Rhinolophus ferrumequinum: one gene and its partner. The protein of the gene in region 2 purifies or fractionates together with the protein of the main gene of each other region. This does not show direct contact. Links are inferred from orthologs where the notes say so. Each region holds a gene or a part of one and is shown on either strand. Other genes may lie near its edges.

Region 1 (7,990 bases), on a different chromosome or scaffold from region 2:
CAAGACTGCCTCCAATTCAGAGGCCAATCGCAAGTCTAGGCTATGACCTGTTCTTCTGACTGACTGGCTATAAGCCGGATTCCAGCAACCCTCTCCTTGGGTTCAATTAATTTGCCAGAGCAGCTCACAGCACTCAGAGAAACATTTTACTTATATGTTTATTATAAAAGGCTATAAATCAGGACCAGCCAGATGGAAGAGAGGCATAGGCCAGGCAAGATGTACAGGAAGCAGACCCCTTGTTAATGGTTTTTAACTCTGGTCTTTGAATGTCTCAGGTCCCATTCCATGACAGCCAGGCCCTCACCTCGCCAGGCCTCTCTGCCCACAGTAATAGGCTTTTGGCCTTCCTCTGGCCCCTTCCATGTGAGTTTCCTTGATACCTCACCAAGGCTCAGTCACTGCTTTTCATTCTCCCCTTAGACCAGGTCCCCTGGGGACACTTCAGAAGCCTCTGATTTACTCAATCAACAAACATGAATTGATGCCTGCTATGTGGCTAGCATTGGAGTGGGTGAGGGAGGGGTGTTGTGGGCAGATGCCCAAGCAAATCTTCAATAGAGGTAGAAAATGAGTATTGTGTAAGTACTGCAGATGAAACACAAATGCTCAAAGGTCTGGGGTAGGCAGGGAAGGGACAGGGTTGAGACTTCAGCAAAGAGAAGACTGTTTGTTTGCAAAGGGAGAGCCACTCTTATGTTCTGGCCAATTGTCTCCCTGTGGGAATGCAGGCCTGGCATTGCTAGATCTTCCAGAATTTAAAACAGAAGTTGGAAATGTGGATTTTATGTGAAATCTCCTGATTCACCAAAGTTAACAACTAATGTGATTTAAATCATTATTTTTAAACCCTAAACAAGTAAAAGAAAACCCAAATGGTACCAAATCTGCCTTCTGAGTTTCCAGTTTACAAGACCTCTGCTGAAAAGATCTACTCATACCTTTCTCCTCTCTCCTGGCACAGGTCACCAGTAAAAACCTTAAAGGACAGTACCTGTGTCTCCTACAAGGCCCCATCCCCAGTGCCAAACACAGCCGCTGCTGTTAGCAGGTGCTCAGTAGGTGATGTGGCTGGGGGCTGCATAACACAGGTCTCCTGGTCATTCTTCAACTCAACAACCCTGGCTCCCTACTGCCTGTGGAGTAGTGGACAAATACCTTACCCTGCCACTCCAGGCCCTCCCCAATCTGTCCACCTTCCAAGGATTCACAGCGATCGAACAGTTATTACATGTAATTGATTTAGCAGTCGAAGTACCTGCCCTTCCCCACAGCCTCTCCTCTCTAAAGTCTATGGATCAATTATTCCACACTTATTGTATGTAGCCTTATGTTGGCTGGTGTTCAAGATGTTCTGTGTGTGTGTGCTGGAGAAGGAGGTGTGTGGATACAAGATCTCCCCTCTGAGAAAAATGTTGGGCGAGGGGAACCAGTGGGCTGGATAGAGTAATAATTTAAATGAACAAACACCACCACCACCACCACCACCACCACCCTTAAGTTCCACTACAGGGAGGGTGGCGCTACGGGGGTGGGGGTGGGGGGCAGCTTCTCTACTTAATATATTGGCCCCTAATTTGGCATTGGCCAGAATTCCATTTCTGGTCTTCTAGTTGCCACCGAACCCTGGGACCTTTTTCTAGGGAGAAAGAAAATGGCACACCACTGACCCCCTGGCCAGAAGGGGCAGGTACCGAGAGTATGAAGAGCCTGACAGGCGGGGAGATGCATGGTGAACAAAGAGATCCGGGTTGTGTCGAATCGTGCGTCCCAATCTGGTACTCCAGACCCGAGGGATGTGGAAAATTAAGAATTATTAATCATCTCCCGTGTAAAACACGACCGACGAGGATGGGATTCGAACCCACGCGTGCAAAGCACAATGGATTAGCAGTCCATCGCCTTAACCACTCGGCCACCTCGTCCCACGTACAAATGCTCTTTCCACATTCTCTTATCTCTTACCTCCTCCATATTTTCTGGGTCCTTAACATCTATTTTTCAGTGCAGCTTCTGTAGGACCTAAAGGAAGGAAAGACCGCGGAAAGAAAGGGCATTCTTTTGTGCTCCTTTCCTCCCGCTGCTGCCGGGAACCCGCGTCATCCTTCACCCAGCTGCAGCCGAGCTCTGCCACGGTTTCCCCTCCCTGAGTCCGGGGCGAGCGCGCCGTGGTTTCAGGACGCGCTTGGTCCAGGGGGTCGCGCACAGACCGGGAGGGAATGGGTGTGTGTGGCTGGGAACCCGGCGGCGCCGCTGCGGGCGAATCCAGCTTTTGCAAAGCGCGCCCGGCGGGCGGCGAGTGCAGTAGATCCTCCTGGCGCGCAGGGGGCGAGCTGGAGCGCCGGTAGGCCAGCGTGGGCGGACGGGGCTGCGCACTGGGCTCGGCTCGCCTCGGCTCGCTTCGGCAGAGCTCGGCAGGCTGCGGTAAATCCGGGCTTGCAGCGGCTGGCAGAGGCTGCTGTCTGGTAGTCCCTGCTGCGTGTTCCGAGCCCCGAGAGCCATGCAGATGTCCTACGCCATCCGGTGCGCCTTCTACCAGCTGCTGCTGGCGGCGCTAATGCTGGTGGCGATGCTACAGCTACTCTACCTGTCGCTGCTGTCCGGGATGCACGGACAGGAGGAGCAAGACCAGTACTTCGAGTTCTTCCCCCCCTCCCCGAGGTCCGTGGACCAGGTCAAGGCGCAGCTCCGCACCGCGCTGGCCTCCGGAGGCGTCCTGGACGCCAGCGGCGACTACCGCGTCTATAGAGGCCTACTGAAGACCACCATGGACCCCAATGATGTGATCCTGGCCACGCACGCCAGCGTGGACAACCTGCTGCATCTGTCGGGCCTGTTGGAGCGCTGGGAGGGCCCGCTATCTGTATCGGTGTTCGCCGCCACCAAAGAAGAGGCGCAGCTGGCCACGGTGCTGACCTACGCGCTGAGCAGTCACTGCCCGGATATGCGCGCTAGGGTCGCCATGCACCTTGTGTGCCCCTCGCGCTATGAGGCCGCCGTGCCCGACCCCCGGGAGCCGGGGGAGTTTGCCCTGCTGCGGTCCTGCCAGGAGGTCTTCGACAAGCTAGCCAGGGTGGCCCAGCCCGGGATCAATTACGCGCTGGGCACCAATGTATCGTATCCCAATAACCTGCTGAGGAATCTGGCTCGTGAGGGGGCCAACTATGCCCTGGTAATCGATGTGGACATGGTGCCCAGCGAGGGACTGTGGAGAGGGCTGCGGGAAATGCTGGATCAGAGCAAGCAGTGGGCGGGCACAGCGCTGGTGGTGCCTGCCTTCGAGATCCGCCGAGCCCGCCGCATGCCCACAAACAAGAATGAGCTCCTGCAGCTGTACCAGGTGGGGGAGGTGCGGCCCTTCTATTATGGGCTGTGCACTCCCTGCCAGGCAACCACCAACTATTCCCGCTGGGTCAACCTGCCAGAAGAGACCTTGCTGAGGCCTGCCTACGTGGTGCCCTGGCAGGACCCCTGGGAGCCATTCTACGTGGCTGGAGGCAAGGTGCCCACCTTCGACGAACGCTTTCGGCAGTACGGCTTCAATCGCATCAGCCAGGTACCCATAAGGGAGAGAGCAGGGGAAATGGGGGAGGAAGGGTGGTGGGGATCTGGAAGCTATGAGTGGCCCTGGGTGGGAAGAGGGCAATGAGGCAGGAGGGATCGTAGTTCAGGAGGTGGTTGGAGGGTGTGTAAGATCCAGGATGCCTCCAGAGGAGTGGGGATGCTGGAGTCAGCGTTAGGGGTGTCCGTCTCAGCTCTAGGAATGTCATCACTTTGCTGACCTATCTCTCCCCCCTCACCCCCACAGGCCTGTGAGCTGCACGTGGCAGGATTTGATTTCGAGGTGCTGAATGAAGGTTTCCTGGTTCACAAGGGCTTCAAAGAAGCCCTGAAGTTCCATCCCCAAAAGGAGGCGGAAAATCAGCACAATAAGATTCTTTATCGCCAGTTCAAACAGGAGTTGAAGGCCAAGTATCCCGACTCCTCCCGTCATTGCTGAGCCCTTCCTTACCCTACTCTGAGAGGTCTCAGCCTCCTCTCTCCTTAGGCCGCCCCCCAGGCCTGACAGGGGTAAGAAATGTCACTCCACTTTACAGTGGTAGCTGTGGTGTTGGAACACTGGACTTGAATATGGGGTGCTGGGATCAAGTCCTAGCTTTACCACTAACTAGCTGTGTGGCCTTGAGCAAATCCCGTTCCCTCTCTGAGCCTCAATTACCCCGTCTGTGAAAAGGGAGGTGAGAATACCTACCTCTCAGAACTGTTGGGAGGCTCAGATGAGATGCTATATGTGAAAACATTCTGTAAGCTTCGTACAAATGTGAAGTATTAATATTATTACAGTATTATTGTTGTTATTGTTGTTATTATTAACAATCTTGGGTGGGTAGGCAGTAGGAGAGCAAAAAGTATGAATGGGACAGAGCTGAGAAGTCTGAGTACTTAACAAAATGGGCTTTTTGGAAAGAAATCAGAGAAGAAAAGGCGTTGAGTTTAGTTCTTAGCTTTTGTACAGAAGCCTAAACTTACTGGTTCTCCCAGGCCTCTGCCCTCGGGGCCTCTGGAGAAGGAAAGGGTCTGCAGGTTCTGTACCCTCCAATAGGCTGGGCTGGGTTATTTGCCTACCAATGACAATGTGTAAATAAATAAATGAGTGTTCACACCTACAGCTGGCTCCGTTACTCTCCTGAACCGAGCAGGCGGAGGGGTCGCGGGTTCAACCCTTTCACGCCGGGGGAGGGTGGGGGGAGGTGACCACGGACAGAGGAGCACCGGCGGCAAAGCAAGAAAACCACAAGGGTCTTTTTCCGGAGGGCTGACTGCGCCAGTGTGAACTTCGGCTAGTTGCTATGGAGACCGGTCCGCGGTATCCCAGCATTCCTCGTCCCCAGCTGTCCAATTGTGTGAGCTTCCCAAAGGGCGCCCCCTGATGACGCATACGGAAGCACCGATAGGCCCCACCTCCCAGTAAAGAGAGACCGGCACCGCGCTTCCGGGAGCCGGACGGCGGGGGTGAGCACCGGTCGCCGCGGACACCTGTTGGGAAATCTCTGACGTGAGGCCGGAGGCTCCAATCCGTGCGGTGCGTAACGCCACCTGTGACGCCTGGTTCGGCCTCCGGCGGGTGGATCGGAGCCCACCCCATCTCCAGGGCCGAAGCGGAGACTTAACCTGCCGGGAGCGTGCAGGGCCGCGGGCCCCAAACCCCCTGCGGAAGAGCTAGAGATTCTCCTACCCGCGCGGACGCATACGGGGATGGAGCGGGCGGGAGGCTCCGGGCGCGCCGCGGAGGGGCTGGGTTGGCCTCTTCGAGGGTGGGGAAGAATCTGCCTTCCGTGGAGGCCAGCCTTCGAGATGCTCACTTTCTGAAAAGATAAACTGCATGTGTACAGCGCCTTAAAATTTGCGTCTCCATCCCTTACCCCTTGCAGTCTTAATAACATTCAGAGTAGCAATGGCCATTCTCTGTTTGGCCTGGGGTAAGGAGGGGAGGTTGTGATTTTATTGAGCTCATTCAGTAGAATCAGGCAGCTGGAGTGACTCCCGTCCCCTCTCCCCCGCCCTTTCTGGTCCCGATTACGTTGCATCTTAGAAAGTAAATATCTTTAACAGTGAAGAGGAATTGCAAAATTTGGAAACTGTGGGAACTGAGGCTTGTGAGTGGGAAAGATGCGGCTGGTTTGGAGAACCGAAGGTTTCAGGTTAGGTTCATATTATTTGTGAAGTCATTGAGGAATGTGACTAAACTATGCTCTAGTCCAGTTATTTTGCACAACTCGAACTGGTGTCAAGGAAGGTGAACAGAACACTTTGGGTTTGCTACCACCGAAGGGGCCTGGGGCTACCAAGAAGTAAAAGCCAATGCCTGCCTCACAAAAGTTTGTTTTGTTTAATTTGTATTTGCGAATCCCCCATCGCCATCGCTTGCGTCGGTACTGCGCTAGGTGAATAAGGCGCATGTGCAGCCCTGCCCCGTGAGGCTTAGGGACTAGCTGAGGACACAGACATGAGAACGGGCAAATAGAGAGGAGATGTAAACAAATAAGGCTTCCTGGAGGGAGGGGTTCTATTCCAATGTAAAGGACTACATAGAAGTACCCAGAGAGGTTGCAAAAACATCACAATGAAATAGAATCCCCAGTAGACAGGTTATCTGTTGAGAGGACTATTGAGTCTTCTCAGGAGATCTCTTGGCAGCATTTGGCACTGTCACCTCTCTTTCCTTATGAAAGTCTCTCTCCCCATGAATCGAGTTGTTCCTCCTCTACCTCTTGCTAATTTCCTTCTCCTTTGCAGGGGTCTCATCTGCCCCTTTGGTGACCCGGGGAGTTCCATCATGGATGTCTTCTCATTCCACACTTTCTGCCTTGCTGGTTGCTCCTTCTCTCAGGGCCTGAAGAACTTGCTACATGCCCTTGACCAGATCTCTGCAGCCCAGACTTGTCTCTCAAGCTTAGACCCATGTGCCCCCAACCTTGCCCCTTCTTTCATTTGGGGGTTTTTGCACATGCTGCTCCCTCTATTTGGAATGTTCCCTCCCTTGACCAGCTCAGCCCATCCGTGTGCCCATCTTCCTCTGCAAGTCAGCTGCAGCAACTCCAGGCCCCAGTTAGATTCCTCTCCCATAAGCCCGCTCTCAACTCTTCTCACACCACACTAATGGTCTGCTTCTTTGCCTTTTTCTCCCAGGAACTTGTAAACCACTTGAGGTCAGAGACCGTGTATGTCTGTCTCGCCACTGTGACCAGCACCTACCATTGTGTCTGATGGTACCTAGCATAATTAGAATTCCAATGACGTGAGATGAGTGAAGAAAGGAAGCAATATTTAACAGTGTTCAGGGTTGCTGAGATGTCAGCTGTGATAAGCACTGAAAAATACTGGCTTCAGGCACAGGGAGGTCGTCGGTTTATTCTATAGGATTAGTTTTGGCTGAGAGTGATGATACAGAAACAAATGGGAACAAGCGGGAGGTGACAGTAGGAAGAACAAGTGTACACAGGCCTGGAAAAGTGTAGCTGTGAGGTGGAAACGGGGAGCAGTTCAATGGAATCGGGTGAGGTTTTGTGTTTCTGTTGTTCCTGAATGGTGGAACATACCTGAGCATGTCTAAGAGGGGAGCACCGCTGATAGGAGATCGCAGAGGAAGCAGAAGGAGATGGGACTGGACTCAGAGAAGACAAGAGGTTGTAGAGTGTTCTCAGGATGAGAAGTGGAGGGCATTATAGGCAGAGGGAATAGCATGAGGGGCCTGGGGGCAAGTGCCTGGTGTATTCGAGAATTGGCCAGTAGACGGCAAGGTGAAGGAGCTGGCCCAGTCAGAAGTCTGGGCCCAGGCGCATAGGCAGGGGGAGCCCACCCTTGGCCTTTCCCACCTTATGGATCATCACCTTGGCCAATATTCCCAGGATTGGGATCATCCCCAGGGTCCCAGGGCACGAGCATTTCCGTGGCTTCTGGGAGCTGTGCAGACGGCCACGTGCACCCTCCGCACCCACTGTGTGCTCGGGGTGTGGCAAATCCAGTTCCTTCCCCCGCTGTCCAAGGCTTGGTGTGACTCCTAGTGACCACTTTCCTGCTTGGAGCTGTGGGCAGAGGTGAGTGATGGCTCCACTCCTTCCAGGGTCCAGATGCCGATCCAGCCTCCCAGCAAAGACACAGAAGAGATGGAAGCAGAGGGTGATTCAGCTGCCGAGATGAATGGGGAGGAAGAAGAGAGTGAGGAGGAGCGGAGCGGCAGCCAGACGGAGTCCGAGGAGGAGAGCTCAGGTGAGCCCCCCCCACCCGCAATGCGCACGCATACGCGCGCACACACCGGTGCCCTCCCACTCCCCCGCTGGCCCTGACTGGCCTCTTATCCCAGAGATGGACGAGGAGGACTACGAGCGGCGCCGCAGCGAGTGCCTCAACGAGATGCTGGACCTAGAGAAGCAGTTCTCGGAGCTCAAGGAGAAGTGAGCGAGCGAGGGACACCGGCATGGGTCCTTAG
Region 2 (7,880 bases):
ATCTTATATCTAGCCAAGGAAAGTTTTAAGTTTGGTAGTGATTAAAAACTGCAAATTCTAGTATAAACACTCATAAATATAAAGGTGACATGTTTACAACTTTATCCCCTAAATAATTTTTGTTACTATGCTTAGTAGTGTGTATTTAAAAATATATTCACAAACAATATGAGATTTTCAGATGTACTTAAAAAAAATCCATCTAAATTTAAAGTCTAGAATTCTATTAAGTTAAAAAATATACTTACGCAGAGTTGAAGATTGGACTAATTAACAAAGAAAAAATATTTACACCTTGTAGGACAAGCTGAAAGATTAAAGAACAGTAAAAATTGAAGTAGTGATGTTATTTTGTTGAAAACTTCCAACAGAAATTATGTAATCAGAATGTGGACGGTGATTCAACCCTTGTAAAAACAGCAGAATTCTGTCTATTCAGTAACCTGTAGGCCTACCTCATTCTAGTTTGTTTGTTTGTGGGGGAGTAATGAAGTATTAGGTTGGTGCAAAAGTAATTGCGGTTTAAAAGTTGAAAAACAATTGCAAAAACCGCAATTACTTTTGCACCAACCTAAGAAATGTAACCCTAGAATCTGAGTCTGCTTTCTTTGCTGATCAAAAACAAGTCTATTTTGACTATCCCAAAACAGAAGTCAATGAAATAACTACATACAAATACAATATAGTCTTAATGTGGACAGTATTAAACCAAAAGAATCTGTATTTCTCAAGCCTTTCTCCTACACATGGTCCCTAACATCCCACTTTGAAGATTCTGGATTCATCTTCAGGTTTTAATGTAACCTGTTTGTCTTCCATTTCCAGTGCCGCTTCCATCCCTGCATACCCCTCTCACCATTGCAGCGTCCTAAAATATAGTTATTAATCATTTCATTAAAACATTTAGTCCTACAGACCTCCAACATGTCTATTATGTCTAAAGCAAGTGAAAGGAAGACACTATGAAAAACATACATGCTGTTTTATGACAGAAGAGATGAGCAAAGGAGAAGACAAGCAGGACAGGTAAAGAAGTGACAGTGATAAGCAGTAATGACAAAGGAGGATCATGGGGCAGATTGCACAAAGGGATAGGTATGTAGAGCAGGACATTAGATTTTATAAACTGTATGACTAATGCTATACGTATTTAACAATCGAGTATGAAACGCAGTACCACTGATTTAACAAACTGCTTTGTGTCAGGCACTGTTCTAAGTACTCTAAAAATATTAAATCATTAATCCTAATAATGCCAATGAAATAGATACACAATTTTCATTTTATAGAGGAAGTCACTGAGGCAAAAAGAGTAAGTTACTTGTCCACTGTCACAGTATCAGTATTCAGTTAGGAAAAGAAAAACCACTGGGTATTTCAGAGGCCATGTTATTACCTCTGTTACCGAGGAAATCCTTACAGAAGGGCTGGAGGAGCAAAAGGGGGTGGGGGAGGAATTGTTATCCAGAGGTAACCATAGAAGAGCTACAATCCTAGGATTGGGAGAACAAAAGAAACGGTGTTATTCAACACCCACAAATGCTGTGTTTCTGAGGCTTTGGGAACATAACTGTTGCATGGTTAGAACTATCTGCTTTCCTATTCTTGCTTTGCAAGAAGCCAGCAGACTGCAGCGGAAGCCTCCCCTCCCCCCGCCCCCGAGCCCGAGTAGAGAAGCACCGTGCTGCTGGCTGCTGGAGCCCAAAGAAGAAAAAATGCCTTCCATCCTCTTGCATTTTAATCTCCCATCAGCAGAACCTGAGTGGAGACCAACTGACAAGTGAGTCTGGGAAATATTTTTTTTTAAGATTTCAGTACTCTTGCAATACTCGTACAGAGTTGAGAGAGAGAGAGAGAGAGAGAGAGAGAGAGAGAGGAGCTGAGACAACAGACAAATCACCAGCACAGTCTTAACTAGAAGTGACAGAGTTTAAATCTCAAGCATTCTGGCTCCTGAGTCCGTGCTCTTTACTACAGACAATGCTATGACACTGATATACTGTAACAAGAGTATTCCATACATCTTAAAATTAATATCTGATCATAATGTGGGATGGCATAAAAAATTATAGGAATTGCATTCATTGAATATTCTACAAATATTTAGCAAGTTCCTACTTTGTGGTGGGCACTGTTCTACTGGAGATACAATGATGGGGAAGAAAAATTTTTCTTAAAAATGAGGGACTAGGGCTCTTTTCTCCCTGTTTCAGACTGAGCAAAATTGCCTGGGAAGGATTCCAACTGGCTTACCCTGAGTCATGTGCCCACCCACTGAACCAACACTAGCTGAGTGAGGGACAGGTATTGGGGAAATAACCTAGTAGAAATGCCCACTATAATCCTGAGACAGGGATCTGAGAGCAGGTAGTTAATCAGGAGGATTCAGGAAACACTTGTAGGAAGTGGGGAAGTGAGACAAAGAAGGGAAGGCAGTAAATAAAGGGTGCCTTATCAAGCCAGCTACCACTAGTAATGACTGAAGCATAATCCTACAGGAAAACTCAGGGAAATAGTATGAAATACATGACTCAAAATTATCCCAGGTGAGGGGCAAAAGAGCTGGGGTATCTATAACATCATGTAAGAATTACTGAGATGGAAATTGATAATTCTCAACCATTTCCAAATTGCCCTGACTAACCAGGGCATGCTTGAGAAAAAGCCCTCAAGCAAAGAGATACAGATACTGGCAGCTGGAAATCTGCCTGAGAACAGTGAAGTGGTAAAAGCCACATGGGCAAGGATCTAAGAGGCCCACTATTTATTCATCAGATAAAAATTTCCTTTGCACAGTTATGATTTCCAAAGAAATAATGCCTGTGAAAGTTTTATAAAGTGGAAAGTAAAATATAAAGAATTGTTTAGAAGTTTCTTGAAGGCAGGGAATGTGTATCATGTTTTATAGTTCTCATAGGACCTTACACAGTGCTATGCATATGTCATAGGCTCAAATATTTACTGAGTGAATTTGTCAATTAATACCCGAACATATTGTTTTCTAGGTTTACAAAGGTGGAATTCCTTTTAAACTTCCATTAAAACTCATTTCTGCTAACTTCTGAAAGAATTTTTTATCTGTTTCAAGAACTTTAAATAGCATGGCCTTGTCCTGTTCCTTCTTTGATCGTATTTCTTAAATCTAGACCATTGTAGATAACTGTTAATTGCTTACCCAAGGATCATTCTCTCCTTCCTTCTTACTTTAAAAAATACCTTGATTATAAATAGGGTATTGATAGATTTTTGCTGGTTCAAACCAATCATGAGAATGCTACTCTGAGTAGCATGAGGGAAAGCAAAACCATAGATGCCAACCCTGACATTGCTGAACTACGGAATACCAGGGGCCATTTTCCCTCAGCCTTCTTCTTGTCAGAAAAAATAAACTCCTAATAATACTGTTCAACAGATACTCTGTTCTATGCAACTGGTGATTCATAACTTTAAGTAGCATATTTTTTCCTTTTGCATAGCAACCCCAAGACAAGTCATTACAAAATTGGAGTAAATTATTTAAGATAGTAACTCAGCAGAAAACCGAGACAGAAGTATTTGGCCACACTAATTTTAATCTTTTTGGGTTTTCCTCTAAGGAAAGATCACAGTATTCCCCGCAGCTCTTTACCTGTGCTCTCCCCTTCAATATGCACTTTGATATTTTAGAACATCTAAAGAAGTTCAGTAGGGCTCTATCACCAAGAAAGTTGTAGTGAGATGATGACCTTTCAGATACAAGTTATTTGAAACTCCCTACTATCCCCTAGCCTCTCTTCTGAGAGAGAAGCACAACCCTGAAGTTGGATTGTATCCATCCTGTCCATGTTTTCATTTTTACCATTTAAAAAAATATACCCATAAACAATAGATAGTATTATTCTGTTTTAATACTTTAAGCCAGCATTACCTAATACTAATTTGTCAGCCTTGTGTGTAGTTTTTTTAAAAAAACAGGTAAAATTTATTTTAATGTTATATTTTATTTAACCCAATATATCAAAAAATTAATGAGCTATTCAGTATTCTGGGTTTTTTTAAAAAAAATTTCAGTACTAAGTCTTTGAAACCCCACTAATAGTTTATACTTAGAGCTTATCTCAATTTCAATGCTGAATTTAGATTTCATAAAGTTTGAGTTGAAAAAATAAGATTCAAATATCCACGTTGTTCCAAACATACTTAAAAGTCTTCCAGTAACTGCAATAAGTTTTTAAAATTTAAATTAAGATTAAATGAAGATTCCATTTTTCAGTCACAATAACCGCATTTCAAGTGCTCAATAGCCACATATGGATAGGGGACACGCTACTGGACAGTGCAGGTTGAAAAGATACCACAAAGCATTTACCATCCAACATTTTTTTGACTCCTCAATTTATGGAATATTTTAATTCTTTTGTTTTCCTATGTCATATCCTAGAATGGGAATGAACAGATGGAATGGTTGGATTTGAATTTCAGGGCAGATGACATGTTTACATTTTTTAAAAAAATCATCGATCATTCAATTTACTCAGAAAGTCTAAAAAAACTTTCAAAAAAAACCTACTGCTTTCTATTTTTTTGTTTAAACAATGGGATTGTTAAACAGGGCAGAGCTACTGATAATGACGTGCTGTAACTAGCAAAGGCGCAGCTTTCATATTATCGCTCCCGTCCTTCTATACCCCGCCCTCCACTAGAACGCGCCCGCACTCACGCACAACCATGTACACACATACACATCCATGTACACACACACACACACACACACACACAGAGACTCCGCCCTTCTCCTGGTTCATTTCAGGAGAAATGGAAAAGGTCGGGGGTGGAGGCGAAAGAAGCCCTGTTATAGTCAACTAGTCATTAGCTCCACCTCAGGAAGAGGCAGACTGCGCGCAGGAATAAAACGTGTTCCTTGAAGGAACATGCAAAGATTTACAAACGACCTTCAGCTGAGGCAGTTGTGAGGCTGCCCTGTCCATGTTGAGATTGGGATGGGCGTTTTCCCCGAATCAGGCACTTTTATTAACAATTTGGTGCGTCAGTGAATGGAGTTGCTCTTCAGCCGCAGTGTTAACTGCGGGACCTCCAAAACCCGCAGAACGCCAGCTCACCTGAGTTCTTGGTTTCCAACAAAAGCGTGGTCACACCACAAACTTTTATCGCAGATAGGAAAACGACTCTGAAACTTTCTTTTCCCGGAACCCTCACTCCCCTCCTACCCCGCCCTCTGCGCTATGCGCTCCGCTTCTGGAGGTGAATAACCTCTTCGTCTAGAATGCCAGCTCTGCGAAATCCCAGGTACTAAACACAACCCGACTAACCAACCTCCCGGGATAGAGAAGCTAGAAAACGTAGCAACCCCCATATACAAGCCGCTGTTTTCCCCGAGGTTTTTTTTTGTTTTGTTTTTTTAAAAAGACAACCGTCCCATCGCCGCGCAATGCATACTAGAATAAGTAGTTCCTTCAACCGGCGAGGCCTGAGATCAGTTCCGAGCTCAGGTTAACTCTCCGGAAGAGCACTACAATTCCCATCGCACCCTACGGCAGCATGGAAGGGGCGGGACGGGAGGGCGCGTCGCGCTTGCGCGGGTCGAGAGGCGGTAGAGTAGGAGAGGTTGCGGTCGAACTGCTAAAGCGTCTCCATGTGACAGTGAGCTGGGTCCCAGCTCCAGCCGCCGCCCGACTCTGGTTTCCGACCCCAAGAACTGTCCACTGTCCCGGCACCAGCAGACACCAGCAGGCGGGGGACACTTGGTGTTTGGCTGTGCCGCCTGAGGACTTGGTGTACGGAGTGAATTGTAGCCGCCGGTGCAGGTGCCTGAGGGAGCTCGCTGAGACCCCTGCGTCTCCAGAGAGAGGCGGAGCGGGGATTTCTGTCAGCGCCGGCGCCTCTGAGCGCGGAGTCATGAATGGTTTCACGCCTGAAGAGATGAGCCGTGGCGGGGATGCGGCCGCCGCAGTGGCCGCGGTAGTTGCTGCCGCCGCAGCTGCCGCCGCTTCGGCCGGGAATGGGGCCGGGGCGGGCGCCGGGGCTGAGGTGCCCGGCGCCGGGGCCGTCTCGGCGGCTGGGCCCCCAGGAGCGGCTGGGCCGGGCCCCGGGCAACTGTGCTGTCTGCGGGAAGACGGTGAGCGGTGCGGCCGGGCGGCAGGCAACGCCAGCTTCAGCAAGAGGATCCAGAAGAGCATCTCCCAGAAGAAGGTGAAGATTGAGCTGGATAAGAGTGTAAGTGACGGCGGGACGGCCCTGCCCTGCCCTGCCCATCCCCTAGGGGCTCCGGGAGCGGTGCAGACAGGGGTTGTTGGGCGCGGTGTTCAGGGGTTCCTTCCGCCCCGATCTGGCTGCAGTGCAAACCCCTTGTGGGGTCTCTGGTAGGAAGCAAATAACAAAGTCGCAGCAACTGCGACCACTACCCGCAACAGACACACTTGCACGCTGTGGTTTCTCTCCCCGCCCCCCAACTCCCCACCCCCCGCTGCCGGCGTCGCTCCCGCTCACTGTCTTCCCCCTTCCTCCGTCGCTGAGATCGGGAAACGAAACAAAGGGAACAGGCGCACTGAGTGTCGGGGGTAGTTTAGTTGTAGCCGGGCAGCTCTTTCTGGAATGGAGGCGCCGCCTTTGTTTTGCTGTCCAAGCTGGCGTTTGGCCCAGGGAGTAGTTCCTCTGGTCAAGGGAAAGTGGAATCCTACAAGGACCTGACACCGCAGTCAGGAAGAATCCCGAGTATGGAGTGAGGGAGGCTGAGCTCGCCCCGCGCCTTGCAGGGAGCCGGCGTTGTGAACTGTGGCGGCGGTGTCAGCAGCGAGGGCAGCTGCTCCGAGCGTGGGGAGCACGTAGTCTCGGCGGCTTTGCCATCCGTTTGGCAGCCATCAGGATTTCTTTTTCCCTCCTTTTGCTTGTCTGTTCTTTTGACCGTCTACGAGGCTTTTAGAAACAACCATTGCCACTTTTCAGAGCTCTGTCTGGTGGTAAATGCATAACAAGATGTCAGAACTCGCATACGTCCTGCTTATTTTTAACTTGCACTGAGCTTGGAAGTTAACAGCCTATTAGCTCAGTCCTTAATTGTTTAGTTTTTTTAAGGAGTAACTGTTAGTATATGAAGTCCAGTATTTCAAATGTTACTATACAAGCTCTCAAGACTGTAAATAAAGTTTTTGAAAAGTTGGTGATCCTTTCTGACTGTTTATACAGTCTGCAGTCACGTTCATGAGAAACTTTTCAGTTAAACTTGAGTAATTTCACATTGCTTTGGTTGAGTTAACGGATTACAGATAAATATATTCATTTAATACTCAGAAAAGTTTATAATTTCAAATTTAAATAAGTAGGGTATGAAATCAATAGCTTATTTGTAAAAATGAATAGTTTTGCATCTGGGTTATAATTTGGGTATTGAATTAGAGAGAAAGACTAGGAAGCATATATCATGCTACTAACGTATGCTCTTTAATAGAGAAAATACTATCATAAAGCAACACTGGGCAACCTCATCATTCCCCTTCTTGTTAGAAAAACAGCATGACCTAACTCATCTATTATAGTTCACCTTCACTGCAATTTGATGACAAAATCCAGAGGGTTGGAATTTCTCATTCTCCTTCTCTGCCTCTCTCCCCTTCCTTACTGCCACCCCTCCCCACCCCACTTCCCAGTCCTCTTAACAACATTGCTAGACATGGTATGTTTTAACTGGGTACAGGACTTTCAAAAGAAACATGCCCTTGTCTTAACAGTGGCCTATTTTGATTGTTTTTATATTTAATAATTCACTGGTGGCCTCTGTATTTTATTAATATGTAGACATTTTACTGTAGTCATAGGTAGTCTGTGAAATTTTTCTGTTTCAGGTAAGGCATCTTTACATTTGTGATTATCATAAAAACTTAATT

What was found. Proteins that work in one complex are often made in the same cells at the same time.
Region 1: the proteins of SAP30 (region 2) and BRMS1 purify together in Homo sapiens (affinity purification with mass spectrometry; 3 studies listed by BioGRID and IntAct, with this or other methods). This does not show direct contact. The link is inferred for Rhinolophus ferrumequinum from reciprocal best matches to the Homo sapiens genes SAP30 and BRMS1.

What each region holds. Positions count from the first base shown.
Region 1 is NC_046294.1:5,585,672-5,593,661, forward strand, and holds the start of BRMS1 (breast cancer metastasis-suppressor 1), read left to right. Parts: upstream 1-4,933; 5' UTR 4,934-5,083; intron 5,084-7,608; exon of another isoform or gene 7,609-7,624; 5' UTR 7,625-7,631; coding exon 7,632-7,770; intron 7,771-7,864; coding exon 7,865-7,955; intron 7,956-7,990. Other genes in the region: B4GAT1 (beta-1,4-glucuronyltransferase 1), read left to right, coding at 2,501-3,556, 3,809-4,000. UniProt on the Homo sapiens protein: Transcriptional repressor. Down-regulates transcription activation by NF-kappa-B by promoting the deacetylation of RELA at 'Lys-310'. Promotes HDAC1 binding to promoter regions.
Region 2 is NC_046301.1:33,241,665-33,249,544, reverse strand, and holds the start of SAP30 (histone deacetylase complex subunit SAP30), read left to right. Parts: upstream 1-4,798; 5' UTR 4,799-5,538; coding exon 5,539-6,213; intron 6,214-7,838; coding exon 7,839-7,880. UniProt on the Homo sapiens protein: Involved in the functional recruitment of the Sin3-histone deacetylase complex (HDAC) to a specific subset of N-CoR corepressor complexes. Capable of transcription repression by N-CoR.